4 linked regions of the Canis lupus familiaris genome follow. The protein of the gene in region 1 interacts with the protein of each later gene in a pairwise test. Links are inferred from orthologs where the notes say so. Each region holds a gene or a part of one and is shown in the gene's direction. Other genes may lie near its edges. The genes, in order: BCL2L2, KASH5, FATE1 and BMF.

What was found.
Region 2: the proteins of BCL2L2 (region 1) and KASH5 interact in binary tests that used the Homo sapiens proteins (3 or more experiments, as listed by UniProt). The two-hybrid records come from large-scale screens. The link is inferred for Canis lupus familiaris from reciprocal best matches to the Homo sapiens genes BCL2L2 and KASH5.
Region 3: the proteins of BCL2L2 (region 1) and FATE1 interact in binary tests that used the Homo sapiens proteins (3 or more experiments, as listed by UniProt). The two-hybrid records come from large-scale screens. The link is inferred for Canis lupus familiaris from reciprocal best matches to the Homo sapiens genes BCL2L2 and FATE1.
Region 4: the proteins of BCL2L2 (region 1) and BMF interact in binary tests that used the Homo sapiens proteins (3 or more experiments, as listed by UniProt). The two-hybrid records come from large-scale screens. The link is inferred for Canis lupus familiaris from reciprocal best matches to the Homo sapiens genes BCL2L2 and BMF.

What each region holds. Positions count from the first base shown.
Region 1 is NC_049229.1:3,689,170-3,696,441, forward strand, and holds BCL2L2 (bcl-2-like protein 2), read left to right. Parts: upstream 1-2,860; 5' UTR 2,861-2,933; intron 2,934-3,210; 5' UTR 3,211-3,298; intron 3,299-3,777; 5' UTR 3,778-3,785; coding exon 3,786-4,217; intron 4,218-4,813; coding exon 4,814-4,963; 3' UTR 4,964-5,322; downstream 5,323-7,272. UniProt on the Homo sapiens protein: Promotes cell survival. Blocks dexamethasone-induced apoptosis. Mediates survival of postmitotic Sertoli cells by suppressing death-promoting activity of BAX.
Region 2 is NC_049222.1:107,752,646-107,759,342, reverse strand, and holds part of KASH5 (protein KASH5), read left to right. Parts: intron 1-169; coding exon 170-247; intron 248-504; coding exon 505-561; intron 562-869; coding exon 870-929; intron 930-1,533; coding exon 1,534-1,598; intron 1,599-1,760; coding exon 1,761-1,848; intron 1,849-2,150; coding exon 2,151-2,294; intron 2,295-4,222; coding exon 4,223-4,281; intron 4,282-6,131; coding exon 6,132-6,177; intron 6,178-6,697. UniProt on the Homo sapiens protein: As a component of the LINC (LInker of Nucleoskeleton and Cytoskeleton) complex, involved in the connection between the nuclear lamina and the cytoskeleton.
Region 3 is NC_049260.1:120,978,580-120,985,883, forward strand, and holds the start of FATE1 (fetal and adult testis-expressed transcript protein), read left to right. Parts: upstream 1-3,024; 5' UTR 3,025-3,119; coding exon 3,120-3,225; intron 3,226-4,248; coding exon 4,249-4,376; intron 4,377-7,304. UniProt on the Homo sapiens protein: Involved in the regulation of endoplasmic reticulum (ER)-mitochondria coupling. Negatively regulates the ER-mitochondria distance and Ca(2+) transfer from ER to mitochondria possibly implicating it in the regulation of apoptosis.
Region 4 is NC_049251.1:7,603,446-7,610,625, reverse strand, and holds the start of BMF (bcl-2-modifying factor), read left to right. Parts: upstream 1-3,231; 5' UTR 3,232-3,333; intron 3,334-3,382; exon of another isoform or gene 3,383-3,509; intron 3,510-3,718; 5' UTR 3,719-3,846; intron 3,847-5,671; exon of another isoform or gene 5,672-5,812; intron 5,813-6,014; 5' UTR 6,015-6,019; coding exon 6,020-6,311; intron 6,312-7,180. UniProt on the Homo sapiens protein: May play a role in apoptosis. Isoform 1 seems to be the main initiator.

The sequences.
Region 1 (7,272 bases):
CTAATTTGTGTTATAGTCAAGCATTTTAAAACTTTCTTCCTTGCTCTTGTAAAATATATCATTGAGGGGGTCACCAGGGTGGCTCAGTTGGTTAAGTGTCTGCCTTCAGCTCAGGTCATCATCTTCGGGATACTGGGATGCAGCCCAGGTCAAGCTCCCTGTTTGGTAGGGAGTCTGCTTCTCCCTCTGTCCCTCCCCTACTCATGCTCTCTCTCCTTCTATTTCTCTCTCAAATAAATAAATAAGTAAATAAATAAATAAATGAATAAATAAAATCTTTAGATATGTATATCTATATCATTGAAAGAATAGATAAGGTTCAAAGTGGGCCTGTGGTCTGAGATGTCCTGATAAAAACATTTATGCTTTGTCTATAGTTTCACTGTTATTCCTTGGCTCTGTGGTGTTGGTCTGAGAAGATCCTTGAGGTATGCAGCTTTGGACCAGGTATAATTTGTGTTGTTCTGGCTGCTCAGACTGACATTTTTTTTAAAAAAAGATATTTATTTATTCATGACAGACACAGAGACAGAGTCAGAGACACAGGCAGAGGGAGAAGCAGGCTTCCCACAAGCCCAAAGTGGGACTCAATCCAGAGACTCCAGGATCACACCCTGAGCTGAAGGCAGACACTCAACCACTGAGCCACCCAGGTGCCCCTAAGACTGATATTGAACCTTTATTCCAAATCAATTTTTGTTTCTTTTTCTTTTTTTCCCTCTTCACAGTTGAGTCTTTGGTTCTTTAACAGCCACTACAGTTATCTTCAAACATCAGAGTGGGCCTGCTCAAATAACTGACCAAGGGTGTTGAATGATTTGTTCAGTCAACATTTACTGAGTGTCTATTAGGCCTGAAGAACATAGCAGTGAATATAATCCCGTTCTTGCTCTCACAGGGTTTATGAATAAATGGGAGGGCAGACAGAAACATTTGGATCCTGAAACCTAAAAGTGTTTTTATTTCAAGTAAGTGTCTTAGAAGAAATCAGGATTGCAAATGAAGGACTGGACTGGATTATTCTCTAAAGAAGGCAGCCTTGCTGGTGGCAGCTGGAGTGATCAGCCCAAGAGCAAAGAAGTGAGGAGGGTGATTGAAAGGATACAGTCATAAAGGTGTGAAATCTGCTGTGCATTCAGAATGGAGGGGATAACTGAGTTTGGACTTGATTCTTTTTTCTTTTTTAATTTTATTTTATTTACTCATGAGAGATACAGAGCGAGAGAGAGGCAGAGACACAGGCAGAGGAGGAAGCAGGCTCCATGCTGGGAGCCCGACGTGGGACTCAATCCCGGGTCTCCAGGATCACGCCCTGGGCTGCGGCGCTAAACCGCTACACCACTGGGGCTGCCCTGAGTTTGGACTTGAAAATGGAGTTGTAACAACATAGATTACCCAAAGCAGAAGAGATGATCTTACAGCAATGCACTTAAAGACAAACTTTAAAGTCAGACAAAATTGAGTAACAGTTTCTAAGTATATGATTTCAGCCAAATTACTTACCGTCTCCAAGCCTCACTCTCTTCATCTATAGAATGAGAATAAAGCATAGGGATTGGTGTGAGGATAACTATCATACATGTAACGAAAGCACATAGCACCTAATAACTCATCAAAATGTATTTGTTGTTACTATTATTGTTACAGAAACCTTTCTTCTCCTGTGACTGTAGGGCCAGGTCGGAATATCAAGGCTTGAAGTAGAGGTAGAAGTAAAGGGAACCAGCAGGAAAGGAAAAGTGGGTTGCCGCTTTCTAGCCTTTGGCTGGAGATCCCTTCAAATGGAGCCGAAGGACGTGCCAGAGCAAGAGCCAGTGGGGCCCAGTCAGAATGCCTGAGAGAACATTCCTGAGGATCACCTGTAGACAGACTGCTTAATATTCTGTGAACTGCCCTGTATAAATATACTGCCTTGTATAAATAATAAGTATACATATATATGTGTGTGTCTATACATATAATTATATATATATTATATATATATATATGTAATCTGAAAGAGTAAACATCAACCTTGTCATTAGCAACTTCCATGAAGGGAGGTGGAATTGGGCAAGAGGTGGAAGGGGGGGGGAGATTAAGGACTCATATTTTTCCCCCTTATACCTTTATGTTGTTTGAACTTGTCATGAGAATTCATGTGTTGAGTAAAAAGAATTAGAATGAAAACCAATCTGATTACAAAACAAAAAGAAGAAAGAAAAAGAAAGAAAGAAAAAGAAAGAAAGAAAGAAAGAGAAAGAAAGAAAGAAAGAAAGAAAGAAAGAAAGAAAGAAAGAAAGAAGAAAGAAAGGAAGGTAAAGAAAAGTTACCTGCAGAAACTACTTGGCGATCCAAGTCTTGATGCCTGGCTAAAGCTTCAGCCCATGAAGAGACTACTAGATTAGAGGTCCTGGAGAGAAGAGGAAGTGAAATGTTCAGTGTCCATGTCGTGTCTGCCAGTCCCGCAAGGCAAGGAAGGCACCTGGTCAGCAGTTCCCATTCTAGTGGGAACTGCTCCCCTAATCCAGGCATCCGCTCCTGGGCAGGAAAAATTCAACAAGTGCATGGAACATCAGAGACCTTCTGGGAAATGGTGAATTTACTCCGAGGTTTCCTGAGGCCTAGCCGGCTTCTCTGGGCAGCCTTCAGTCTCAGGAGCCCAGACTGGCCCTCGGTATCCTCCCAGCCCTACTCCTCTTGGCCTCCAGCGGGCCTCTCTCTTCCGGAGTTGTGGCCCTTCCCAAGCTTGCTTCCCAGCCCCGCCCCTCTCTCTCTGGACGCATCTCTGGGCCCCATCATCACCCGGCGCCGGGCCCTCCCTCCCGCCCCCCCTTTCTCCTCCCTCCTTCCTTCCCTCCCTTCCTCCCTCTCTCCCTCCCTCCCAGCTCCTGCACCAGGAAACGGCCCGGATCCTGGCAGCGGCCTGACCCGTGAGATCCCTAACCTGGCAGGCAGGCGGGGTTGGAGACTTGCTGAGGGTGGGGGTGAAGGAGGAGCTGGGCTGTTGGACTGCACTGGGGGGGAGCCGGGAGTAGAGATGGTGAAGGCAGGAAGCCCTTGGCCCTGGGTTTCCCGGGAGGACAGTCGTTAAACATGGATTCGGCCACACAGCTGGTAGAATGTTGGGGGCAGGGGCCGGTCCAGGAAGCTGCAACCCCAGCCTTCTTAGTCCAGACTCTGATCGCTGGCCTTCCCCACCTAGCTCTGCTCTCCCCCTCCCCTTCCCAGGGCTCCACGCTGGCCAGGAGGATGAAAGGCCCCAGCTGGGGGCTCCTTGCCACCAGGGCTGGGTCCTAAGAGCTGCCATCCAGGCTAGGTGAGTGTCCCCTTTCTTTTCTGTCCCAGGCAGCCCTTTGCTTCTTCCACCTTTCCCTTCAGCCCCTGTCTCCACCCCCATTGTGTGCCTCTGCCAGCATCTTCACATCTTCCCTCTGGGGAAGTACTAGGCCCCTTCCTTTAGCCAAAAAGGTGTGTACTGTGGAAGGGGGGGGTGGTTTGCAGGGGTGTTGCAGAGCTGGTATTCTCCTATTGTGGAAAAAAATCTAAAGTATTTTAAAAATAAAATTTACTTGTTTTGCATTTAATGTGGCATATTATGAATTTAATGGCCAGCCCCTCATGCCCTGACCGCTCACCTTGACTTAACTCTTGTGTTCTTGCCCTTCCCTGCCCAGTGGTCTCTGAGCATTTCCTCCCACCTCTCTCCCTGTCTCACTGGGTTGGCCAAGCCTGAAGTACCCCTTCTGGCTCTCTGACCATATATTCATGCCAGTCTTTCATCCTTGACTCTTACAGCCGCCCGGATGGCGACCCCAGCCTCAGCCCCAGACACACGGGCTCTAGTGGCAGACTTTGTAGGCTATAAGCTGAGGCAGAAGGGTTATGTTTGTGGAGCTGGCCCTGGAGAGGGCCCAGCAGCTGATCCACTGCACCAAGCCATGCGGGCAGCTGGAGATGAGTTTGAGACCCGCTTCCGGCGCACCTTCTCTGATTTGGCAGCCCAGCTGCATGTGACCCCAGGCTCAGCCCAGCAACGCTTCACCCAGGTCTCTGACGAACTCTTCCAAGGGGGCCCCAACTGGGGCCGTCTTGTGGCCTTCTTTGTCTTTGGAGCTGCACTGTGTGCTGAGAGTGTCAACAAAGAGATGGAGCCACTTGTGGGACAAGTGCAAGAGTGGATGGTGGCCTACCTGGAGACACGGCTGGCCGACTGGATCCACAGCAGTGGGGGCTGGGTAAGAAGCTTCTCAATTGCTGCTCTGCACACCCCTCCGAAAAAGCTTGTCTCCAGAGGGAAGATGGGGGCTCTGGCTGGAGGCTAGGGGCGGAGTCGCCCTATTTGGGTGGAATCAGATGCCTTCACTATGGGTATCTCGCTAGACTCTGCACTCCAGGGCTGCCATGCAGTCATCACTGGATGGGTTCATGGTCCAAAGCAGAGGACAGACTACACAGTGCCTGCAGGGAAATGGCATCCAGCTGTCAGGAACTTTTTACACCAGAGTACGGTGACATGGGCGGTGGTGGGGATGGGGTGTCAGGGATGGGGTGGTAGTTAGGAAAGCCTTGGCAAAGGATGTCAGTTCAGAGCACAATTTTTGGCCAAGGAGAGGCTGGGATTCACTTGAGGTAGAGAGGGCAAATGAGCCAGGCGCTCATGGGGGATGATGGGGCCTTGCAGCCAGTAGAGCTTTGGCTGGCGAGGAGCTGGGTATGGGGTAGTGCTTGCAGTGGATGGAACTGGAACTCTTCCTCTCCTCTTTCCTCCACTCTTTCCTCTCCTGATCTCCCTTTCTCCTTCTTTCTCTCCTACTTCCCTTCTCTCCCACAGGCGGAGTTCACAGCTCTATACGGGGACGGGGCCCTGGAGGAGGCGCGGCGTCTGCGGGAGGGGAACTGGGCCTCAGTGAGGACAGTGCTGACGGGGGCCGTGGCACTGGGGGCCCTGGTCACCGTAGGGGCCTTTTTTGCGAGCAAGTGAGCAAGTCCGGGGCCAGGCGGGGCTAGGTGTGGCTAGGGGACAGGAGAGCAAGAACAGAACAGGAGAAATGCCCTTGGAAGAAGTGGGGTGAATGGATGGGCACGGAATGGGGATCGGAAAGGGCAGGGTACTGTGTGAAGGAGCTGTGTTTGCCAGGCAGGCAGTTGGAAGGATGAGCTGGGAGACATTAGGGAATGTATTTGGAAAGTCGGGGGCGGGGGGGCGGGCAGGAGATAAAGTCATTCCAAGGTCAGGAGGAGGTGGGAGAGATCATGTCTATAGGTGTAGGCACACAAAACTATACCTAGAACTTAGCTTGTAGCCATGAGGAAGGTCGACTTGCAGGAGGGGTTGTGTCTCCATTGGATGAGTGAGAGTGTGGGGGGGAAACAGAGGGCACATTCCTTTGAAATGGAAGCTTGAGGTTCTCTGGTGATAGAGAGAGATGGCTGTGATGGTGGGCTGCTTGGACATGTGTGTGCATGTGTACGCATGCTTGTGTGCATGCCGGGCTGCTTGTCTAACCTGTTGGTGGCTGTACTTGAGAAGAGCTCCCTGTTGGAGTGGCAGGAACAAGGGGCAGTTCTCTGCCCCTCCCCCCCACTCCCCCCCTTGTCCTGATGCCTCAAGGCTGTGGGAGAAACACTGTATCCAGTAGAGGGCTTTGGGCACTTTCTGGCAGAAAGTCATCAGCAGGCTTGAGGGAGAAGAGAAGTTCTGTAGCTTGCCCTGTTGCTTTGCCATCCCCATTCCCTGTACATCACTTACTTGCTGCTGCCTCCTGGACTCTGACTGAAAACAGGAGAACAGGCTGCCAAGCCTGCAGGGGGTGGGTGGGGGTGGGGTTGGGGGGTCTGGACCTACCTGCCACCCTCCTTTCCCACTGGGGCACACTGGTGCCTCAGGTGTTCCCTGTCTCTGGGACTGTACCCAAGCTTAACTCTAAATTGGGACTCTAATTTTCCTTTGGAGTGTGTGGAGGTAAATGTTGATCTAGAGTATGGTCTGGGTCCTGCACTGTGTCTCAGTGAGACTGCTGATGCCTTGAGAGGAACATTCCAGCTCTGAACCCCATGGGTGTGAGGGTGACCTGTAGTCCGTGACTGGCCTATTCCATGTAGTGGGCTTTGGTGCTGCTTTATCAAGGGCCAGGTGTATGGGTTCTAGAGTACCTACGACCTAGAAGCATTTCTTTCTTTGAAGCCACACTGTTTGCATGGGTATTACTTGTCTGTACCTCAGAGTCTGAGGACACTAACTTTAGAGCTCACAGTCCTCTAGAATGGACTCAGATTATAGCATTTTCTTTTGAGAGAGAAATTATTTCACTCCAGATGTATGTCCTGAGCCAGACCTCACTGCTGCACTTCCCAAGGTGCTAAAATTGCTGCTCTCCAATGCTGACTTCAGACACAGTGCTCTAGAACCCTGCCCTTGATCCTGAGCACTGATCAGCTTAGCTAGACCATGGTTGACTCTTCTTAGAGATTTTCATTTGGTCCCAGAATGTGGCAACATAGTTGTACTCGCGAGAATGTGGGACCAAAATTGGCCTCAGGTGTTTAGCCCAGACTTCTGCTTTTGAGAGAGGGCTGCACTTTTTAAACGGTATTTATAGGGGAAGTGGTAGACTGCATGCACCACTTGGTCTGTTGTGAGTATGCTGATACCAGAAACTCAGAGCTGGTCTGTGGCAGGCAGTTGGGGTGGGGGTGGGGGGTCTCTGACTTGCTCAGGACAAACTAGACCAGTGGTTTTCAGACTGCTTGGCAGAACCCTGAAGTTTTGGAGGAGTTGCCTCAGGAGTCCTTGGGGAGATGAAGAGGGGGTGCTAAGCAGGCTGGGCTACATGTCCTCAAACAGAATAGCTCCCCTGGTGGCTGTCTTACATATCGGGGTTCAGGGTAGATTTAATTTACATTAAGGGGTTTGCTGCTGAAAAAAAAGTTGGAAAACCACTGACTAGACCATCAGCTCCAAATTGGAGCCCACTCTCCCCCAAGTTTGGGGCAGACTCTTCACCTTCCCTTCTACCACAGGACCCCTGACCCTGCTAGCTTTCCTGGGGGCCTTTAGCAAACCAGAGCAGCAGGGACCATGGTCAGGTAACTGAAATGCCCTGTGCTGAGGCCTTCACACCTGGGTGGAAGTAGACATTGTTTTCTGAAAGGGTAAAGGGCTTGGATTCCCAGAAGCATAGCTTACTTGGGGTCATAGTGGGCAGTTTTGATCTGTCCTGTCCTTTATAGCTTGAGGGGCAATGGAAACCCCAGAGACTCTTCTGTCAGGGAAAACTAGAGACTCTCTTC
Region 2 (6,697 bases), on another chromosome or scaffold:
GAGAAATCAAACTGGGACCTCATAGGATGGGTGGAGGGGTTAAATGAACCCAAACCTATAAAGTGCCCGAGGCCTGTCATGGCATGTCAGCGGTTGAGAAAATGCCAGCTGTGGGTACTAATATTCCCATTGGCTGAAGTGGACTTGACGGGTCTTTTCCTTCTTCCAGAACGGGAAGCTGCTGGCTGAACGGGATGGAGTCAAAAGGAGGAGTGAGGAGCTGGCCACAGAGAAGGAGGCTTTGAAGGTGCCACCCCTCCCTGGTGGCCATTTTATCAGTTTCAGCCCCTCTGGCCTCGTGAAAGCCGGGGCCTTCATCCAGCCATCAGGCTCCCAGGGCTCTGGGCAGCTCAGCTGCAATCCCTCTTGGGATAGCTCATGTCCAGAGACATCGTGGGAGGTTGAGAGGGGCTTGGGAGAGTTGGGTGGGCTGGGAAGGGCAGCAGCACTAGCTGAGGCCAGTCCCAGGAGGCTGGACAGATGGACAGGCTCCTTCCTTGGCAGTGGCAGCTCTGTGAGTGTGAACGCCTCATTTGCCAACGAGATGCTGTCCTCTCCGAGGTGAGAGGCCCCAGGGGGTGGTGAAGGACATTTACCTCCCATGTGCTCCCGGCTATCCCCTGCCCCTGCCCCAAGGTCTGGAAAGGGAAGTCCTGCCTGGGTCTCATCCCCTGGATAAGCAGCCTGGAGGGGTCAGAGGGTTCCCTGCACCCAGGGTGGCAAGTATGTCCCTGCAGGATTTAGAAACCTGGCGCTCTTCCCCCTGGCCCAAGCTCTTCCCTCAGACTCACCCTGCCAGTCTCCCCTAGCCCTGCCTCAGCATCTTTGCGGGGCTGGGCCCAGTCTCAGGGGGCTTTGGGCTTCTCCAGCGCACTCACCACGCTGAGGGTCTGGCCAAGACGTTGGAGGAGTACAGAACAACCACCCAGGTACCCGACTGCCTTCCTGCCCACCCGTGGCCCCCTGCCTGGCCCCACTCTTCTGCCATCTCTGTGATTTTCTGCCTCCTCTTGCCCCTGTCTCTCTTTTTCTGGAGTTGTGTGTGTCTCTCTCTCTACCTTTTCACTTGCCCTTTGTTTCCTTCCTCTCTCTCCCACCCTGCGTAACTCCATCTCGGGTCCAGTTTCATTCTCTGGGAGGGTCTTGTCACCACTGCATCTCCCCTGCTTATCTTTCTGTGTGCCTGCCTTTCTTTGATCTAATCTGTCTTTAGGGATAACTCTCCCCTCTGTGGGTTCTGAGGGTTCTGAGTCTCTTACTCCTCATGAGTCTTTTACCTCTCCGTGAATCTGTGGCCATGTATCCTGTTTTTAATCTTCCTGGCTGGTGGGCTACCCTCTGGGTTCCTGCTGCTCTCTAGCTCTCTTTGGCTTCCTGAGTTTCTGTCACTGCTCTCTTCCCCTTGTCCCTGGGCAAGACGCTTCTGGAGGAGCCCAGGGAAATCAGGGGAGTGGAACTGACTGTCGGAGGAGCCCAAGGCTGGGAGATGGAGAAGAACAGAGGGGCAGGGGTCCCCCACTCCCTCCTTTGCAGGAACTGAGGCTGGAAATCTCACACCTGGAAGAGAAGCTGAGTCAGACCCAGGAGGGGCCAGATGAGTGAGTGGAACATAAGGGGTAGAGGAGGTAGGAGGGGAGCCCCAAGGCCGGGAACCCTGACCTCCAGCCCCAATGTGGGCAAAGTAGCCACCCCAGAGGGGGTGTACTGATGGGTAGTGGGCAGGCACAAAGAGAGCCTTCCCCTCTTGACCATGTGCCCAGGCTATCAGAAGGGGCCCAAGTGAGAAGAGTGGGCTGGACCAGGCTGCTGCCCCCATCGCTGGGTGTAGAGATTGAGGCCATTCAGCAGGTGGGCCTGGCTCCTGGGGAGCACCCCAACCCATTGCCAGCCCCGGCTCTAACCCAGCCCTGATTCTCACCATACCCCATCCTCCCCCAACGAGGACCATCTCAATCCTTCACCTACATCATCCCCACCCCCATCCTTGGTCCTGCTGCCAAACCCTTCCCAGGCCCTGCCTCTACCCGCTTCCCAGCCCAGCCTCACACCAGCCCCTTGTCTCCTCCCACCCCATGCCTCAATGCCTCAGCCCATCTCCATCCCCATCTCTCACCCGACTTTTGCCTTCACCTGGCCCTCCCTGGCCTTAGAAAGGACTTCTCCTCTCCCAGAAACAAGAAGTGGCAGCCGCTGCTCTCTCAAGCCCTCTGTGTGGAGTGTGGCAGTGGGAGGAGGTTGCCATTGAGACGGATGAGGAAGCTGAGTTTCCCTCTAAAGCCCCAACTGGGGCACAGGTGAGCATGGGAAGGGCTCAGAGACCACTGGAGTCCAGGAGCTGGGAAGGGGGCCTGGGACTCCATGTGCTAGGAGCTCGTTGCCCATCCCATGGGCACATCTTCTGGACACAGAGCCCAGGCCAGCCAGGAGACCATCCTTGCCCTCTAGGGACTGGCCCATGAGGGTAGGAGACAGGAGCAAACAAAGCAAACCCAGACTGCATGGTGGTAATTTTGTAGTTGAGAAAATGGTATCAGGAAGCACTGCATTTACAATGGTTCTGCAGCGGGAAGGTAAAAAGTGCATCCTTCTGACAAATGCCGTAAAAATACAGTAAGCTTTTACTTTTTGGATCTGAGGCACTTTTAAGAACAGCTTAGCCAGCCCACTGTGAAATCTGGAACTCAACCATAGTGGTTGTTTTAGGACTTCTGTAATTACCTGAGCAATATTTCAACATCCTTTGAAACAACTGAGACAATTCATCTTCATTGTCCACAAGAGAAAAGTGAGATTTTAATCTATCAGCACCAAAAGTCTCTGTCTCCCTTTTTTTTTTAAAGAAAATATTGCTAACAGCTCTGTAACTGCATTGTCTTGAAAATAACAATGCTTCAGAATTATACTATTTCCTGTTCTTAAAGGAGAAACTCATTCCTTTGCTACTTTCTCCCTGGGTTGAGAGAAGCTTCTGTGCTTCCCTTCAACACTAGTGCTGTCTGATTTTTTTTAAGTTATTTATTTATTTGAGAGAGAGAAAGGGAGGGAGTGTGAGTGTGCGGAGGGGCAGAGCAAGAGGGAGAGAGAGAGTCTCAAGCAGACTCCACACTGAGAACGGAACCAACAGGGGGCTTTATCCCAGGACTCTGAGATCATGACCTGAGCCAAAACAAAGAGTGGGATGCTTCGCTGATTGAGCCACCCAGGTGCCCCTGATTTGTCATTTACCTCCCCTGATATCTCTGCGAGGTAGGCATCCTCATCCCTCATCCTGTTACCTATGGGAAGCTGAGGCTCAGAGAGGTCACCTGTCCCCAGCCACACAGCCTGTGGGTGGCAGTCACATTCCTCAGAGGAGGTATAAATCAGAGTGAATTCTGCTGTGAGCTCTCAGACGTGCCATCTAGGGGACTGCTGACCTAGGCCTCTGGGGGTCACCAGCTCTCAGTCCTGGAGCTACTTTGTGGAGCCACTCAGGGCCCAGTGGGGACATGATGCAAAGGGGCCATCCCCATGCAGGGCCATGCATGTGCAGAGGTGGGGGCAGGCCCGGAGGGAGCCCAGCAAAAAGGGGACCTGTGTTGTGTGGGAGACTGGAGAGGGGGTCACAGGAAAACTGTGAGTTTATTTTGGAGAAGAGGGAGAAGTTAAGTGGTGTGAGGAAAGAGAGGCCTTGCTGGCAGCAGAAAGTACAGGCACAAGGATGTGGGGTGTGAAAGCACAGAACATGCTTGGGAAATGGAGTGGTGAATGGCTAGGGAGCGATGAGACCGGATTGTGACAGGAATTCCTTATCAAGCCGCCCAGGGCAGGCGGCTGGGGGTATGGTCAGCTTTGAATGTAGAAAGATCCCCAGGGGGACCGGCTAGAGGCAGGGAGGCCAGGGAGAAGCTGGGGCAAGAGTCCAGAAGATGAAACTTGAGCCAGGCCAGGGCCTTGGGATGGAGTGAGAGGAATATGCAAAGGGAAGTGGACAGGGGAGATGGGGCTCTGGACAAGCAGGCTGGAGGCGCAGGGTGCCCCCAGAGACGCCGATCTTATCTTGCAGCCCAGTAAGATGGGACCCTGAGGGACATCCAGTGGCTGCACAAGCCTCGTTCTTGGTTCTGCTCCTGGGGCGAGGGAGAACCAGCCCCAGGGAGGGAGTCCAACAGGTTCTAGAAGTAGGTGGTGAATTCTTGCAGGTGTCACAGCCCCGGAGACCTAACCTTTCCTTTTCCCACAGAGAAACTTCCAAGGAGAGCCAGCACACCCTCATGGAGGAAGACAGGAGCAATCAATGTGGTAAGAAGTTTGTCCCTTCCAAAGCCGTCCCCCTGCCTTGGGATGACACTACATTCTTTGACAAATTCAAATAGCCTACAAGGGTTGAAAGAGCCCCAGGGGAGTGGCAGGTCATTTACTCCTTCATTCATTCATTCCCTCACACTGAAGTGACCCTCATCCTGTGAACCTGGATGAGCCACCCCCAGCCCTGCCCTCAGTGTCTCCTAGCCTAGAGGGAGACAGACTCTGACCCAGCCGGTTCTGGGAGGACATCTGGCATTTCAGGCCACCTGCAGAGCAGGGGGGCTTCCCGGGGAGATGATGCTTGAATGGGGTCCCGTAGGAGCAGTACTCAGATAGGAAACTCCTAGACAAGAGGACAGTTGGCTAGCTAATGGGACAGCTCAATCACTTTGTCACTGTCACTGAACACACCTCTCCCAAGGCCAGGGACCCCTGGGATGGATGACTGAAACCCAGACTGACCCATGGAGAACCCAGGGAGTCAGGAGACAGTGGAGGACTCTGGACTTGGACACCCTGGGTTCAAAGCAAGCCCCAGCTTGCTTACTTCATGATGGGGGTGGTGTGAGCATTAGTGCCACATAGCCCCAGCCCTGGGATTGTGATGAAGCAGGTGCAGGCCTCTAAGGGGACCTAAACCACTGGATGTCTGGGCCCACCCTCCCCTGGGGCCTGGCCTTGGGGCCTGTGGTTTCCTGTGATGCCTCCCGCCTGCTGCTGTCCCCCCTTCAGGCTCTCGGCTGTGACAACTAATGAGGCTGCCTGCCACTGGCCTCTAATTGGACTTGTCTGAGAAAGCTGAGATTGGGCAGGAAGGGGGCTCCAGAGCTATGACCTCCCCCTACGTCACCAGGGAAGGGAAGGGAGGGGGGCTGAGTAGCAGTGAGGGTGGGGGCTGAATCTTGAGTTTCCCAGGATCAGGGCAGTGTGACACCGGGAAGCTGGAAGCCAGGGAGGCAAATCCTGTGCCCCCTAAAGGTGGCAGCTAGGGGTGAGAGCTGTGATCTGGAGAGGGGCCGAGAGAGGAGCCCCCTGGAGCGCAAGTTGAAGTCCCAAGGGATGAGACAGCTGTGTGTCTGACTGGGCAGCAGAGGCTGGGGGCTTACCAACCTGGACACCTTTCTGGGTGCTAGTGAAGACACAGCTGTGTTCTGAGGGTGTCAAGGTACTGGCAGCTGGAGGGCTGGATCCCTGAATCCCTTGCTGGATCCCCTACAAAGGTGGTAGCCAATGGTATGGACCTCTGGGTCTCTCAGGGGGTACTCGATCTGGGCCGCTTGAGGTCTGAGTCCCCAGAGAGGTATTCCAGGGGCTCAGGCAGCTGCAACCCTCAGAGGGGCAGAAGTTGGCAGCTTGCACACCGAAGAGAAATGATTTGTGAGGAGAGATGTTCACAGTTGGCTTCTGGAATCTTGGTCCTAAAAGAAGACTCAATAAACCTGAGACTCACTGAAAAAGACACAAACCTCACCCCCACCCCCGCCCCGCAGGCATAAAGTGGGGGGTGGAGTCCACCCCTGCCCTAGAGTCCCAGAGAAACTCTGAGTCTTGTTTGGGAGAGTAATTGAGCAGAAGCCTCAGCTCCTAGCTAGGGCATCAGCTGGAAAACAGCAGAAGAGAAAACCGGTTTGATCAAGAGACCCTCTTACCCTTTGGGGGGTCACACACTCTTTTGCTGAAAATTCCCCTGTGAAATATGCACACTGACCTACACACAGCAGTTTCCTCATGGGAGGACACCTCCAGACCCATCCATTTAAGAACCCCTGCTTTAAAGGTTCATACAGCTCCACGGTGGGCGAAGGGGAGCCAAGCCAAGCAGTATGACTCTGTTGTCCCCTCAGGTTGCCCAGAAGCGAGAATGAGGAGGAAGTAGAGCCCCAGACCATGGTAAGCAGTCCCCACCCACTCCAGGCCCTTGAGGAGGGTGATGCAGTGACAGCTCCTCCCAGCCCTCACCCACACTCCCACTTCTCTTGAGCAGACAGAAAAATCATTTGGCCAAGAGATAACAAGGCCCTTGCTATAGCTAATGAGAGCGGACAGCGTCGTGGGGGAAGGCCTGCAGGCCAGTGGGCGGCCAGAATGTTCCCAGGGGACCCCCCAAGCGCATACATGGGGCGGCAGCCGCTAAGCCACAGGCCTCACAGACGTGGCTACACCCCCGGAATGCGAAAATGCACACGCACATGCACCCACACACAGGAAGGGGCTGGGCCCTCCCCAGCCAACCCCAGAACTCCCTGGGGCACACACCTGTCATGGCTCTCCCTCCTGGCACCACACACACCAGCAGCTTTGCGCCTCCAAGCAGCAGGGTGAGGTGCAGGTACCAGTCTCATTCTCAGGCTGGGAAAGGGAGTGAAGCTCAGAGAGGAGAGACAGGGAGCCCATAAGTCCTCAGGATGGG
Region 3 (7,304 bases), on another chromosome or scaffold:
ACAATCTTTAAAAAAAAAAGAAACTTACTTGTCCTTTATCTGAAATTCAAATTTAGTTGGCGGTTTGTATTTGTATTTGCTCAGTCTGGCAGCCCTGGCCAGCAGAAGCCTATGGTTCCTGCTTCCCAGGCTCCTGGGTCCCCCCAAAGCACACTTCTCCACTCTTAAGGTGGCCTTCCAGAAAGCTCGGATTTCATTGCAGCTGCTCCACTGGATCTGGGAAGGGCTTCCTCAGGGCCTTCAGGAATGCAGGCAGGGCCTGGGTCTGCTGGGCTCCAGATTAGTCCCAGTGCTGGACAGGTGGGGCCAGGGAGGGGGCCAGGCAGTCCAGACCATGTCACCCTCTCTAGGCAAGTTGCAGCCCTTCCTTTTCTCTCTCACACTTTCCTTCCTCCCTCCTCCTTCCCTGCTTCCTCCTCTTCTTCCCTCCTCTTCCTGGCCCCAGCTGGGCTTGGTTCCTTTTGCAAATCACCTCCTCTTCCCCCCAGGGACTCTGGAGCTATTCCCTAGAGCCCAGGGTTCACCTCTGGTGATTGTATCAGTCAGGGTTCTCTAGAGAAAAGAAACCAGTAGGACTTATGTCAGTACATGTATGTATGTGCAAATGCCTATGTGTGTGTATACAGAGATTTATTTTGAGGAATTGGCTCCTGCCATTATGGGGCTTGCAAGGGCAAAATCTGCAGGGCAGGCCTGCACATTGGAATCTGAGGCAGGGAGAGATGCTGCAGTCTTTAAAAAAAATTGTTTTTTTTTTTTTAAAGTTTGAGCATAGTCCACATACAATGTTACATTAGTTTCAGGTGTACAATATAGTGATTCAACAAGTTTGTACATTATGCTATGCTCAGTACAATTGTAGCTGACACCCGTCACCATACAATGTTATTTTAATATCACTGACTCCGTGTTCCTGGTGTTCCTGCCGTGCTTTTTACTCCCATGATTTATTCCTTCCATATCTCCCACTCCCCTGGACCTATTTTGCCCATCCCCTACCCCCCTCGTCTCTGGAAATCAGCAGTTTGTTCTTTGTATTTATAGGTCTGAATGTGCTTTTTGTTTGTTGTTTTCGACTCCACATATGAGTGGAATCATATGGTATTTGTCTTTCTCTGTCTGACTTATTTCACTTAGCATAATACCCACTAGGTCCATCTACATTGTCACAAACAGCGTGATTTCATCTTTTTTAATGTTTGCACAATATTCCACTGTATGTGTATATGTCATGTCTTCCTCATTCGATATCCAATATTCTTATTGATGGACACTTAGGTCACTCTGTATCTGGGCTGTTGTAAATAATGCTGCCATAAAAATAGGGGTGCATATGTCTTTTCACATTAGTGTTTTCATTTTCTTTTTTTATTGTTGTTTTGTTTCATTTTCTTTTTTTAAGATTTTTTTAAATGTATTTATTTACTCACGAGAGGCAGAGAGAGAGAGAGAGAGAGAGAGAGAGAGAGGCAGAGACACAGGCAGAGGGAGAAGCAGGCTCCATGCAGGGAGCCCGACATGGGACTCGATCCGGTCTCCAGGATCACACCCTGGGCTGAAGGTGGCGCTAAACCGTTGAGCCACCGGGGCTGCCCTTTGTTTCATTTTCTTTAGGTAAATACCCAGTAGTGGGATTATTGTTTCATACAGTATTTCTATTTTTAATTTTTTGAGGAAACTCAATTCTATTTTCCATAGTGGCTGCACCAATTTGCATTCCCACCAACCGTGCGTGAGGGTTCCTTTTTTTTTCCATGTCCTCACCAACACTTGTTTCTTGTATTGTTGATTTTAGCCATTCTCACAGGGGTGAGGTGATACCTCATGGTGGTTTTGATTTGCATTTCCCTGATGATGAGTGATGCTGAGCATCTTTTCACATGTCTGTTGGCCATCTGTATGTCTTCTTTGGAAATAAGTCTATTCAGGTCCTCTGCCCCTTCTTAAATTGGATTTTTTTGTTTTTCTAGTGCTGACAGTTGTATCAGTTCTTTATATATTTTGCATTTTAACCCCTTCTCAGATACATCATTTGCCCATATCTTTTCCCATTCACTAGGTTGCCTTTCTGTTTTGTTGACAGGTTCCTTTACTGTGCCAAAGCTTTGTATTCTGATTTAGTCCCAGGAGTTTTTGTTTGCTTTTGTTTCCCGATGTTGCATTCTTGAGCAAAATTTCTTCTTCGCTGGAAAACCTCAGTCTTTGCTCTTCAGGCCTTTCAACTCATTAAATGAGGCCTATCCACATTATCAAGGATTAGTAATGTCTTTTACTTAAAGTCCACAGAGTGCAAATGTCAACCAAAGCTCCAAAATAACTTCATAGCAACACCTAGACTAGTGTTTGATGGAATAACTGGGAACTATAGGCTACCCAACGAACAGATAAACTTGACCCTCACAGTGGTCTAATCATTAGGGAAGCTGAGAGAGAATTTGGACTTAGACCAGGGACTGCAGGGCCTGCCTGGGGACAGTGGGCCCTCCAGTGGCTACAGGTAGATCCCTTCTTTCCTGCCCTTCCCTCCTTAGATTCTCATGGTTCCTGCTCAGACTGACCCAAGGCATTAAAAGGCCATCTCCCCTGGGAACTCTACATTGGGGGGAAACAAGATGTGCTCTGTAGAGGATGCCTCCTGAGGGGAGCTGTGGCCTGAAATACTTGCCAGAGCTGGGCTTGCAGAAGCCACAACAAGTTTGGGATCTAACCCTGTTCTGGCTACTGACTGGCTTTGGGGTCCTGTGCCAGTATCTACCTCTCTTTAGAAATGATGGAGAGTAGATCCCACTGGCCCCTCAATGGGGCCAAATCATGTGACCCGAGAGCCAGGGTAGTTCTCACAGGCAAAGTTTCTGAGATAAGTATCAGAAACTCCTCCTCCTAAGTTGCTTACAGAGTAGCAGGGGAGAAGACTGTGAACCAAGCCAATAAGATACAACAGGAACACAAGGTGCTGGGTCCAAGGCCTGAGTCCTGTGGGAGAGTGTGGCTCCACCCCCATGGCCAGATATATCTTCCTCGAGCTCCTGCCCCTGGAAGAGCAGACTTTCCAAGAGTCTGCTCTGTGCCCGGCTTCCTGTGTATCCTGGCTATAGCTTAATAGCTAAGCGCTAGCTGTGATGGCAGGAGGCCCCCCTACTATCAAGGAGGAGATGGAAACATCCATCGCTGAAGAGCTGGTTCCTGGAAACTATGGGAAAAGCCAGGAGCACCTGGTGATAGCAGGTGAGGAGCCCCTGTAATGTCCCTTTCCTTTGGGTGTCTGCACCCAGTCACATGTGTTGGAGAAGGTGTGTTCATGGCTGGGAAGAGTCATATATATGCAAGTATGTGTGGCTATGTGTGTGTCTGTGCCTTGGTGTGCGTATACCTGTATTTGTGCCTTGATGAACAGGAAGCTGGGGGGGAAAGGTATTGATGATGTGAGCATTTTGAAGCCTGTGAGAGAGTAGGATGGGATCCACATGTGTGGTCCTTATCTCCCCCTGTCCAAGCTACCACTGTGTTTATGGCAAAGTATCCAGAGCGCTCAATTTATAAGATCATTCAGACCAATTCTCTCTCCTTTTTAATGCCTTTTCCTCCTTTAGAGTAAAATCCAAACTCCTTTCCTTGATCTACAAGAGCCAGCCAATGCCACCTCCTCAATATATTTCATGCTGTGGTATGATGACCCACAGCACACTGCATTTATACTTGTCCTCATAAGACCCGAAGGCTGATTCTTCCTGATAGCCTTTGTGTTGACTGCTACCTCTGCCTGGGATGCTGTTTTCCTAGATTTTCCATGGCTGCCATCATTTTTGTCTTTCAGGTCTCTGCCTCACAGGTGTTTCTGGCTTTTCTAGAAGTAGCCCTTCCTTCCACCATGTTGCCCTGTTCTTATCATTTTGGGAGCATGTATCTCTTGATCTGAGTTAACACTGATAGATTATACCCATTTTGCACCCCTCACTTCAGCTAAGCACACATAGACAGTTGATTACTAGATTGCTGAGATCTTGTGTCTTGGTCATTGCTCTCCCTCCAGTAACCTAGCCCAGAGTTTGGCCCTCAAGAAATACTTACTAAACTTTTAAACAAATGAACAGACTGAGGCTTGGGATCTGCCAGGGGACAACAGTGAATGAATATTGAATGACTCCTAAGAAGTTTGGGTACCTTATCCTCTTTCTGGTGTGTCCTGTGTCCAGGAAGCCTTGGTATAGCCTCTATGGGTGTTTCTGGGGCCTCTCTTCTTTTGCCTAGAAATGATGGAGCATGGATCCCAGTCTGTGGGTGCTTCTCAGCGGCGACAGAAGGCGGATCCAAAGGCTGCTGGCTCTGCTGCAGGTCAATCGGGTTGGAATATGACTGGCAACCGGAGCAAGAAAGCGGTACTGTATGGAGTCCTTGGCATGCAGTGGCTAGGCTGGGGTTGGGACAACAGACTAAAGGGGCTCCAGCTTCATGACGGTAGGTTGAGCAGAGCCAGATGTTGACTTGGGGCCAAAGGAAAAAGCTTTTGTGTACCAGTGAGGCAATGAAGGCAGGGATGTCCTTTGAGAGGTCAGGGCCATCCTTTGGTAGGCTGGGAGCTCAACCTTGGGTTTCCAGAACACCGGATTCACATATTCCTTGGGGACTACATATACACTTTATTTTGCAAAACTCTATTGTGTGTGAAATGACACTTTCCTTTATAAATAAATAATTCTATATGTATATTTCCTTCCATATCTATATTATCTATATTATCTATATAAATTATAACTATATAAATTATTTAATTATCAACTAAATAATCAGCCTGGAATCATGAGAATCATTGATGAATAAAAGGAAGGAAGGATAGGAAAGAAAGAATCTGTCTGTAGCCATTGGAGGCCCCACTGTCCCCATACAGGTCCTACAGTCTCTGGTCTAAGTCCAAATTCTCCCTCAGCTTCCCTAATGATTAGATCACTATGAGGGTCAAGTTTACCTGTTTGTTGGGTAGCCTGTAGTTCCCAGTTATTCCATCAAACACTAGTCTAGGTGTTGCCATGAAGGCATTTTGGAATTTATTTTATTTTATTTTTATTTTTATTTTTTTAAAGATTTATTTATTTATTTATGATAGAGAGAGAAAGAGAGAGGCAGAGACACAGGAGGAGGGAGAAGCAGCTCCATGCACCGGGAGCCCGACGCCGGACTTGATCCCGGAACTCCAGGATCGCGCCCTGGGCCAAAGGCAGGCACTAAACCGCTGAGCCACCCAGGGATCCCCATCATTTTGGAATTTTAGTTAGCATCTACACTCTGTGGACTTTAAGTAAAAGACATTAGTAATCCTTGATACTGTAGATGGACCTCATCTACGCTATTAAATAGAAATATACATACATAAAACAATATGATTCTCAAGTCTGGAAAAAGATTAAGACAAGTTAGGTTCCTATGTTCCCTGGCTGTTAGGAAATCCAATCAATTGAATCTGACCATTATGTAGCCAATCCTTTAAAGTACCTTTAATGTGGGTTAAGAAAAGCTCTGGAAAACTGGCAGGTACACTGTTACAAAGGATACTGGGAAAAGGTGGTCATTTTGGAGAGGAGGGAGACCTGAGTGTTCTAGGGAATCCCGTGAGATCTCTCACTGTGTAGCCAATCCTTTAGGTTACATTCACTGCTAAGTGAGAAGAAGCTTTGGAAACATGGTTGCTATACTGTTGCAAAAGTTGCTGGAAAAAGAGAACCCAGTTGGAGAGGAGAGGGACCTGACTGTTGAAGGGAGTCATCTGAGTTTCAAGTTCTGTATCCAATCTGTTCCACACTTTCACTGTGAGGGAGGGAAAGCTTTAGAAAAATGGTTGTTATACTGTTGCAAATGTTACTGGGAAAAGGCAACTCGGTTGCAGAGGAAGGGAAACCCAGTGTTCTTGGAAATCATCTGAGTCTCATTGTTCTGTAGCTAATCCTTTAAGCTACATTCACTCTGGGTGAGGGAATGTTCTAGAAAAAAAATGGCAGCCATATTGTTGCAAAGATTACTGGGAAAAGGTAGCCATGTTGGAGGAAGGATGACTCGACTATTCTAGGGAATCAGTTGAGTCAGGTAGTTCTGTAGCAGATTCTGTTAGCCAGAGTCACCATGGTTGTTACACTGTTGCAGAAGCTAGTGGGGAAAGTCAATAAGATTGGAGATTCCGGAGGCCTGGCTGTTCTAGGGAATGAGATATGATAAATGCCTAAGTGATTCCACTGCCAATGAATAAAGAGAAAAAGAGCTCCCAGAGACCTCTTGGGAATGGAAATAAGCTAGAAATACTGAATTGGTTTAGTCTCCAATGGCAGAAGTCAAATCAGGTTGCTCCAGCAGGTCAGGCTCCAGCAAGCCACCCATGCCCATGAGATTGAGGCAGAATGGGATGAGGGGGGGCAGTGGGGAGATATAATATCTGGATTAATTACAGTTACCTTTTAGGACCACAGGAATACTTTAAAAAGAAACAGCTGATATACTGATATGTATTATATACTAAATATATTGAATTTAGAAATTAGACATTTAGAAATAAGAAATTTACCAATTCTATTTATCATTGACTTTTGAGCACCTCCCCCCAAATGGAACTACCACCACCTTTGACAGAATCACAGCATGAAAGGCCAAAATTTCATGATAGTGTTTTGCTGATTTGGGTGTTGAGGAAGTAGTGTGCCTTGAAGAGTAAATGAAAATAAAAATAACACTATTTGAAGTAGTAGGCAGAAGCTAGGAGTTAATGAAGTTCATAGATTTTCTTAATCTCCATCAAAGTGCTAGCTATAAAATTCTTATATATTATTATGCATATAATTCTAAATTCACAACCATTCCTGGCTTTATTTATTTTATTTTATTTTTAAAAGATTTTATTTTTCTATTCATGAGAGACAGAGAGAGAGAGAGGCAGAGATACAGGCAGAAGCTGGCTCCATGCAGAGAGCCTGACGTGGGACTCAATCCCGGGTCTCCAGGATCACACCCTGGGCTGATGGCAGTGGTGCTAAACCTTTGAGCCACCCTGGCTGCCCCCATTCCTGGCTTTAAATGACTGCTCTGCGACTTACCTGTTGTGTGACTTGGACAAGTAACATGACCTCTCTGTGTCTCAGTTTTCCAATCTTTCAAAATGAGATGATAGTGATACCTATTTTGAGGGGTTGTGATGAGGATTTAATGGTTTGATGTTGGTTAGGGCTTAGAGAATGACATGTGGCATGTGTGAAACCAAATAGCTTGTGACATTTTTCTTCTTGCATTGGAAGCCCAGAGCTGAGATTTGAACCCAGGTGGGTCTG
Region 4 (7,180 bases), on another chromosome or scaffold:
AGGCATTACTGTGGTCAGGGGTTCAGAGCCTCAGATCTCCAGCCAAGCAGGTCCTGACACTGCTGAGTCTGCCCTGCACTGGCAGGGAAGGAACGGTATAGAGGGAGGAGTCTGCTTTGACAGTGATGAGAGGTGGGGAGTGAGGCTCCTGACCTCCCTGACCCCTTTATCCCTGACAATCTTTTCTGGTCTCTGCAGCTCAGAAGGCTGGGCCCCTGCTGCTTGACCTTAGGGGCTGAGAGCACAGGAGGCCAAGCCACTGGGTGTCCTTCAGAACCAGTCTGAGAGAGGGGCTGGGAAGGCCTGGGAGAGAGGTCTTAGAAGAGATGACACTAGATGGTGTGACCCTCCTCCCATCTTGCAAACTACCCAGATCCACTTAGGTGATCCCTTTTGCTCTCAGCCCTACTCCCCTACATTGGTTATTTTTAACTTCTTATAGGGCCATAGGCCCTTTTGGGAAACTGTTGTAAGCTATGGAACCACCCCTCAAAATGTTTGTGTGAGCCCACATATACAATTTAGCCAATTTCAGGGGTTCATAGACCCTACAGCTAAGGACACCCTGGTGAGTCTGGCAAGTACATGGATCCCAGATAAAAATCCTGCTCTACCATCTTCCTTGCCTTGTGGCCCCAAATCTGCTGTGATGAAGCAGACAGAGCAGTAGCAGCTTGGAGCAAGGGTTGGGGAGTGGAGTAGGTGAAGAGATAAGGGGAATTAGTATGACCTCTCCCTCTCAGGGCCTATGATGCCTGAGAAGACAGGTTCAGAGCTGCTGAGTCCTTCAGTTCCATTCCTGATCCTAAGTAATACACATGGTCATTACTGGCCAGCTTGAGACATTGGCCCAGGTGGAAAGCCATTAAGAAGAGAAGGATAGAAGGAAGGAGGGGAAAGAGGTCTGTGCGTGGTGAATGTGGCAAGGGCTCCCCAGTGCCCTGCATGGAAGCTGGGCTTGGTTTCCTAATTTACCCACATGTGGCATGAATGCTAGGTCACCCTGACCAGGTGACACTCCCTCTTAGCCAAGCCTCCTGGTAAAGTAACATACCTCCTTTTGGCTCCAGCACCTCTTTCTGAACATCCGTCAACTCCTGGAGGATGGGGCTGCTGGCCAACTTTGACCCTCATCTTTTTTCCCTTTTCTCTTTTCTCTGGACTTTGGAGATAGTGTTTTCCTGCTCTAGCAACCACAGCCCTCAATATGCCTGGTTGGCTCTCTTTCAGGTATGCTTTGAGGGAGCTCAGGGAAGAATGGGTAGGAAAAAGGTACAAGGAGACTTCAGGCTCCTCTGGGCTAAGCATTCCAGCTCCACTAAACTTAAATCTGCCTGAGTTTACAACCAGAGAGAGCAACTTGGTGGTCAGAGGACTGTCCATCCCGACTATCCCTGGGGTCAGGCCCATCATCGACCACCCAGTCTATTGCAGTGACTGGCTCTCTCTCACTGATTTTGGCTTCTTTTATCTTTCTTAAAATGCAGCCTTAGTTAAGTTACTCTCCTTCCTCCTCCCCTTCCTCTTCTTCTTCTTCTTCTTCTTCTTCTTCTTCTTCTTCTTCTTCTTCTTCTTCTTCTCTTTTTCTTTTTTTAAGGATTTTATTTATTCATGAGAGACACACAGAGGCAGAGATATAGGCAGAGGGAGAAGCAGTCTCCCTGCGGGGAACTCCATGCAGGACTCGAACCCAAGAGCCTGGGATCGTGACCTGAGCCAAAGGCAGACACTCAACCACTGAACCACCCAGGTGTTCCTTTTCCTTCTTTTTTTTTTTTTTTTTTAAGATTTTATTTATGTATTGATGAGAGACACATAGAGAGAGGCAGAGACATAGGCAGAGGGAGAAGCAGGCTCCCTGCGAGGAGCCTGATGGGAGACTGGATCCCAAGATCCTGGGATGATTACCTGAGCTGAAGGCAGATGCTCAACCACTGAGCCACACAGGTGCCCCCAAGTCACTCATCTTCTATAAAAAAATCTTTGGTGGCTCCCTTTTGCCTCCAGTACAGATTCTCCAGCCTAGCATTGCATGGACACCTATGTACTCTGACCTGAATCTATCTGTCCATGACCACCCTTTCCCAAATCCTGGGATGCAACCAATGACCCCTCCTTCAGCCTTCTCTGCTCCCAGGACAGATTCTCCAGTTCAGCATTTTATTCTGCTGCCGTGGGCTTAGGGTACTTTACCTGGTTTTCCTTATCGAAAAATCTCCCCATTCTTCAAGGCGCAACTCAAAAGCCATCTTCCTGAAGCTTTCCCCAGTGTTTTGTGTCCTGAATTTTTCTGCAGCTTCCAGCAGTCCTTGTCCCTAAAAATTAACACATTTCATGTCACATTCCATAATTTTCGAATCTTCCTCTCCTGAATAAACTGTAAGCTCCCTGAGGACAGGCACAGGGTTTTGGCTCCTAATCCAGTATTTGGCACAATGCAGGTATTCAATGAATGTTTGTGAAGTGGCCTGGGGACTTCCTTATGGATAGCAGGAGATCCACAGGACACATAATCTTCTTGGCAGCACAAACCCCATCTCTGGATGCTGCCATAAACAGGATGTGTGTCAACTGCTCAAGCAGCCCCTGCATTCTCGATCTCCCCTCTCCTCGGCTACATACTTATTTTGTAGGTGTCCACGCCCCCTCAAGAAGAGGACCTGAGGGTCCCTCTGGATGTGTTAGATCTGAATGTCACTCAGTAGTAACAGTGCCAGACGCAGGTGTCCGCATGCTTCCCGAAGATTCGCGCCTGGAGTTTCTTTCCGCCGGGCTAGGCAGGCGGGAGGGCGCTTTGCCACCAGGCCGGGGTCCACGAGGACACGCACCTTGCCCTCGACGGACGCCGCCCGCTGCGTCCTCCTCTTCTCCCTTTCTGGACGCTCCGTCATTATTCAGACCATTCCCGAGAAAGAGAAGACAAAAGTCATTTTGGCGCCCCCTCTCTCCCTTCTAATGGAGAGGACCAGGGCCTTTCCGGTCCTTCCCGGGCTTGCGCTCGGGATCGGAATCTGCGCCGACTACGGCTCTCCGATTGCGTTTCTGACGGGAGCCGGAATTTCGCTCGGCCCCTTGCAGTGTTTCCAAGGGAAGGTTGGTACATTCGTGACGGTCCCTGGCAGCCGCCCAGCCCGGGACTCGGGGCTCCGCTCGCCATTGGCCGCCGGGGGCGTGACGCGCCGGAGGCGGGGCCTCATCAGCTGTTTGCGGGATGCCCCGAGCGGGCGTATTTTGGAAACAATACCGCGCGGTGCACGGCGGCCTCCTCCCGCGCCGGCCCGCCAGCTGCCGCCGCCGCCCTTGCCCGCGCCGCCCGCCACCCGCCGCAGCCCGGTGAGCGCGCGGGCGGCCGGGGGCCGGGCGGAGTTGGATCGCACCTCGGCGGGAAGTGGGGCGAGGAGTCGAGCTGCGCATGGGGGCCCGAGAAGGGTTGGGCTGCGGGCGTGTGGGGGGACCATGGAGGACTGGAGCGCCGGGGTGCGGGAACGCGGTGCAGGACCCTTATCTAGGTGCGCTGCTCCGCGAGGGAACTTGGGGGCAGTAGCATTTCAGACAGCAGGGAGTTGGGTCCAGGTGGGCAGGGGAAGCTGCGGTTCACTGCTGAGCAGCCCTGGGCTCCCGAGAACGGCCCGGCCTCTGGATCTGACTCGGGGGTAGGACAGGGGGTGGGGGGGCGTCCAGCCTCCCTGCGGAGTCTGAAGGCTCCTCTCCTTAACAGCTGGGCTCTTTCCCTCCTTCCCAATTGACTCTGGGCGCCAAGCCCCCGAGTGCTCGTCACGCTGGACCCTGGCGCGGAGCCCTGGCATCACGACTCGGAGGCCGAGACTCTCTCCTGGAGTCACCCAGGTCTGCTGTGTGTCGTGTGGGTGTGTACGCATGTATGTGTGCGTTCCCAGATTTTAACTCCTACGGAACCTCCGAGTGCCTGGCTATTCTCCTAGGAGGAGGAGTCTTAAGTTCAGCATCCCTCTTACAGCCCTTCGGGGCTGAGATGGTTCCAAAGCGGGCTTTGGTTCCCCTTTGCTAGGAATAAAACCTTCCCAGGCAGTGCTCTCAAGAAGTGTGCTCCTCCTACCAGTTTGGACATCACCTCCTCAGCTCAGGCGAAGAGAGCAGAGGGTCTCTTTACCATATCCCAGTTTACACTTGACTTTGCCCAGCACCCCTCGGGAGGCTCCCACGTACAGAGGAGCCACCTGCAGTTCTTGTGGAGAATGGGTAGGGTCCCCAGGGCTTGCAGAGACACACCCTATGGCTGCATTTCCCCGACAGTCCAGTCCAGGCAAGGGTTGAACTTTGGGGCCTTGCTGGGTGGGGGAGGGGGAGGTGACTGGCTTCAAAGGAAAACCCAAGACAATGACTCCTGCTTGTGATTAGCTTTGGAGGGCCCCCTCTTAGCCTGGGATTGCCAGTCTGCAGAGAGAAGGCTGAAAGGCTGGAGAAGAGCCCCTGCCAGGTGACTGGCAAGACAGTACTTGGTCCTTTCAGCAAGAAACTTTGTTTCCTGTTGCTGATAAGCTGAAGATCTCCTACCCTCCTTTGGGAAACACTTTCTAAAGAACACCATGTGCCTGTTTTGCCATCCAAGCTGGCATCTCCTCACTCACCAGGGAAGAGGGCAAAGATAGGGTCATAGTAGCTCATGGACTGGTTGGGATGGAGGGAAGGTTGAAGCAAGCGCCTCGGAGAGAGCTTGCATTTTGGAAAGCCAAGTTTCTGAATTTAAGTGAGATTCCTTTAAGTATCTTACCAGCCTACAGACCATTTGGCTTGTTCTTCAAAGGCAAGAAAGAGACTGGGAGACAAAATTCCCAGGGGATCTCTAATTGAATCTGGCAGTGACAAACAGTATCCCTCTGAATCCCAAACCATTCAGGTAGTTGTTGCTTCTGGCTGCCCCAGGGACCCTAACAAGTTCCTGGTGTATGTGTGTGTATGTAGGGGGCTGAGTTGGGAGCTCAAGATGCTGGGTGGCTCCAAGCTCAGATTTCCAAGAACCATCAGGTGGAGCAAGAGGAACTTCTTTATTACCAAGAAACTCCTATCAACAACCTGAGTAGTACAGAGACAGTGAGTGAGGTCACAAAAAGAGGGCTGAATTTCACTTCCTTCTGTAAGGAGGGTTAGACCAATCTCAGGTTCGGTGCCGACAGGAATGGTAGGTAGACTGTGGGCAAAGAAGATTAAAGTCATGGAGACGAGTGAGTAGGCTGAGCTGGGGGAGGCTGGCCACATTGCTGGATGTTGGACCTACCCTCTAGGCCAAGCTGTGGTGGGCAGATGGCTCTGCTCTGTTGGGAGGCCAATGACTCACTTGGGTCTTTCTGCCCTCTCTCCCAGGACCCACTCTTACCACACCGTGGAGCCTGTTTGTTGTGTTGAGCAAGCAGGGGGTGGAGACTAGGGTAGATCGGCAGCTGGGCGGGGCTTAACAGGTTTGGAGGGAACCTGGCTGCCCTAGAGTTGCTGGCTTTTGTTTTTGCTGCTGAGCCTGGAGCTCAGTTCAGACTGAAATGAGAGCTTGGTGGTTACTCCTCAGGGCAGTGAGTGAGTGAGTGTGTGTGTGTGAGAGAGAGAGAGAGCGAGCGAGCACTGTGTGTACAGCCAGTCCCAGCACCCTCTGCCCTCCCATAGCCACTCACAGGGTCTGGTCTTGTTGACATTTCCCCAGGTGTCCTGCATGCTTGTAGCCGTTGATCATACCCCTGCTAGTGCTCAGAGTCAATAGCAGTCAGACTTCATGACCGGAACCAGCCTGGGTCAGGAGAAAAGACCAAGGTGGGGGGTGGCTCCCAGAAGGCCCAGGGAAGAGGTATGGAGCAGTGAGGCTGTCCTCAGCCTTTGGGGCGGGTGTCATCCTTGGTAGTACTTTATCACCAGTTGTCTGTCATCAGTACCTGGCCCTACTCACCCAAATAAGAAGGGGAAGCAGGAAAGAAAAAAGGGGAGGGGAATCCCTCAGCTTTGGCCTGGGTAGAAGCAGCATCCCAGAGGCCTGCATTGTGCTCTAACAGGGGAGATGGAGCCGCCTCAGTGTGTGGAGGAGCTGGAGGATGATGTGTTCCAGCCAGAGGATGGGGAGCCGGGGACCCAGCCTGGGAGCTTGCTCTCTGCTGACCTGTTTGCCCAGAGCCAGCTGGACTGCCCCCTCAGCCGTCTGCATCTCTTCCCTCTCACCCACTGCTGTGGCCCTGGGCTTCGACCCACCAGCCAGGAAGACAAGGCCACCCAGACCCTCAGTCCGGCCTCCCCAAGTCAGGGTGTCATGCTGCCTTGTGGGGTGACCGAAGAGCCCCAGCGACTCTTTTATGGTGAGTGCTCTTAGCCTCAGGACTCCTCCCATAGAGACTGGGGGAAAAGAGGGGACTTCCCCTCCCCAAACGTGCACTTTGTTATTTCCTTCCCCAAATTGAACAGCAGGGGCTATTGATTCCTCGATTCTTGTCATTCTGCTTCTCTGCTTGTCATTGCTCTTCACCTGTGCTCCTTAGGCACTGAGAAGGGCAAATTGCTATGCCTGCCATCATTTCTGCCTTTTTGTCCGTTTCTGCAGGGATCCTTGGGTCTGTGGTACCTTTTGGGATAGGAGAGTGGTACCTGGGCCTTGAGTTTTACATCCTGTGGCCCGTTGAGCGGCCCAGCCTTTTGTGTCCTGGGAGTGATATGCCTTTTGTAAATTGGCCAATGTGGCCCCAGTGAAGGTTGGGAGATCTGTGTGAATCGCTGTTGACACTGAAGGGAAAAACCCGGCCCTTTCTGGGAGGGGAAGATTCCTGAAGGCAGAAGGTGTCACTTGGGACTTTCTGTGCTTGGAAGGGGAACTAGAGAAAGAGGTTGGGCCTGCCGGGGCTCGATGCCAGTAGAGGGGCTGTTTCCAAGGCTCAATCAGACAAGACCCCTTCATTTGTGGGCTTAAATGGTTTGCTTTATGAGTAACATGCCCTCCTCTGGCAAAGGGACAGGGTTAGACACTTAGTCTGCTTTCTTCTTTTAGCACAATAGCTTATGGAGGGAGGGGAAGGGCTTGGAGGCGAACTTGCTATGTCTGATGGAGCATATTGAGAAGACGCTGCAGTTATTCCCAGAGGGAGCTGCCCTGCAGTTCTTTTTGGAGTTTGAGGAGATGGATAAGGCCGGCAGGGAAGAAGGAACAGAGGAAGAAGGCAGGCAGGCAGGCACC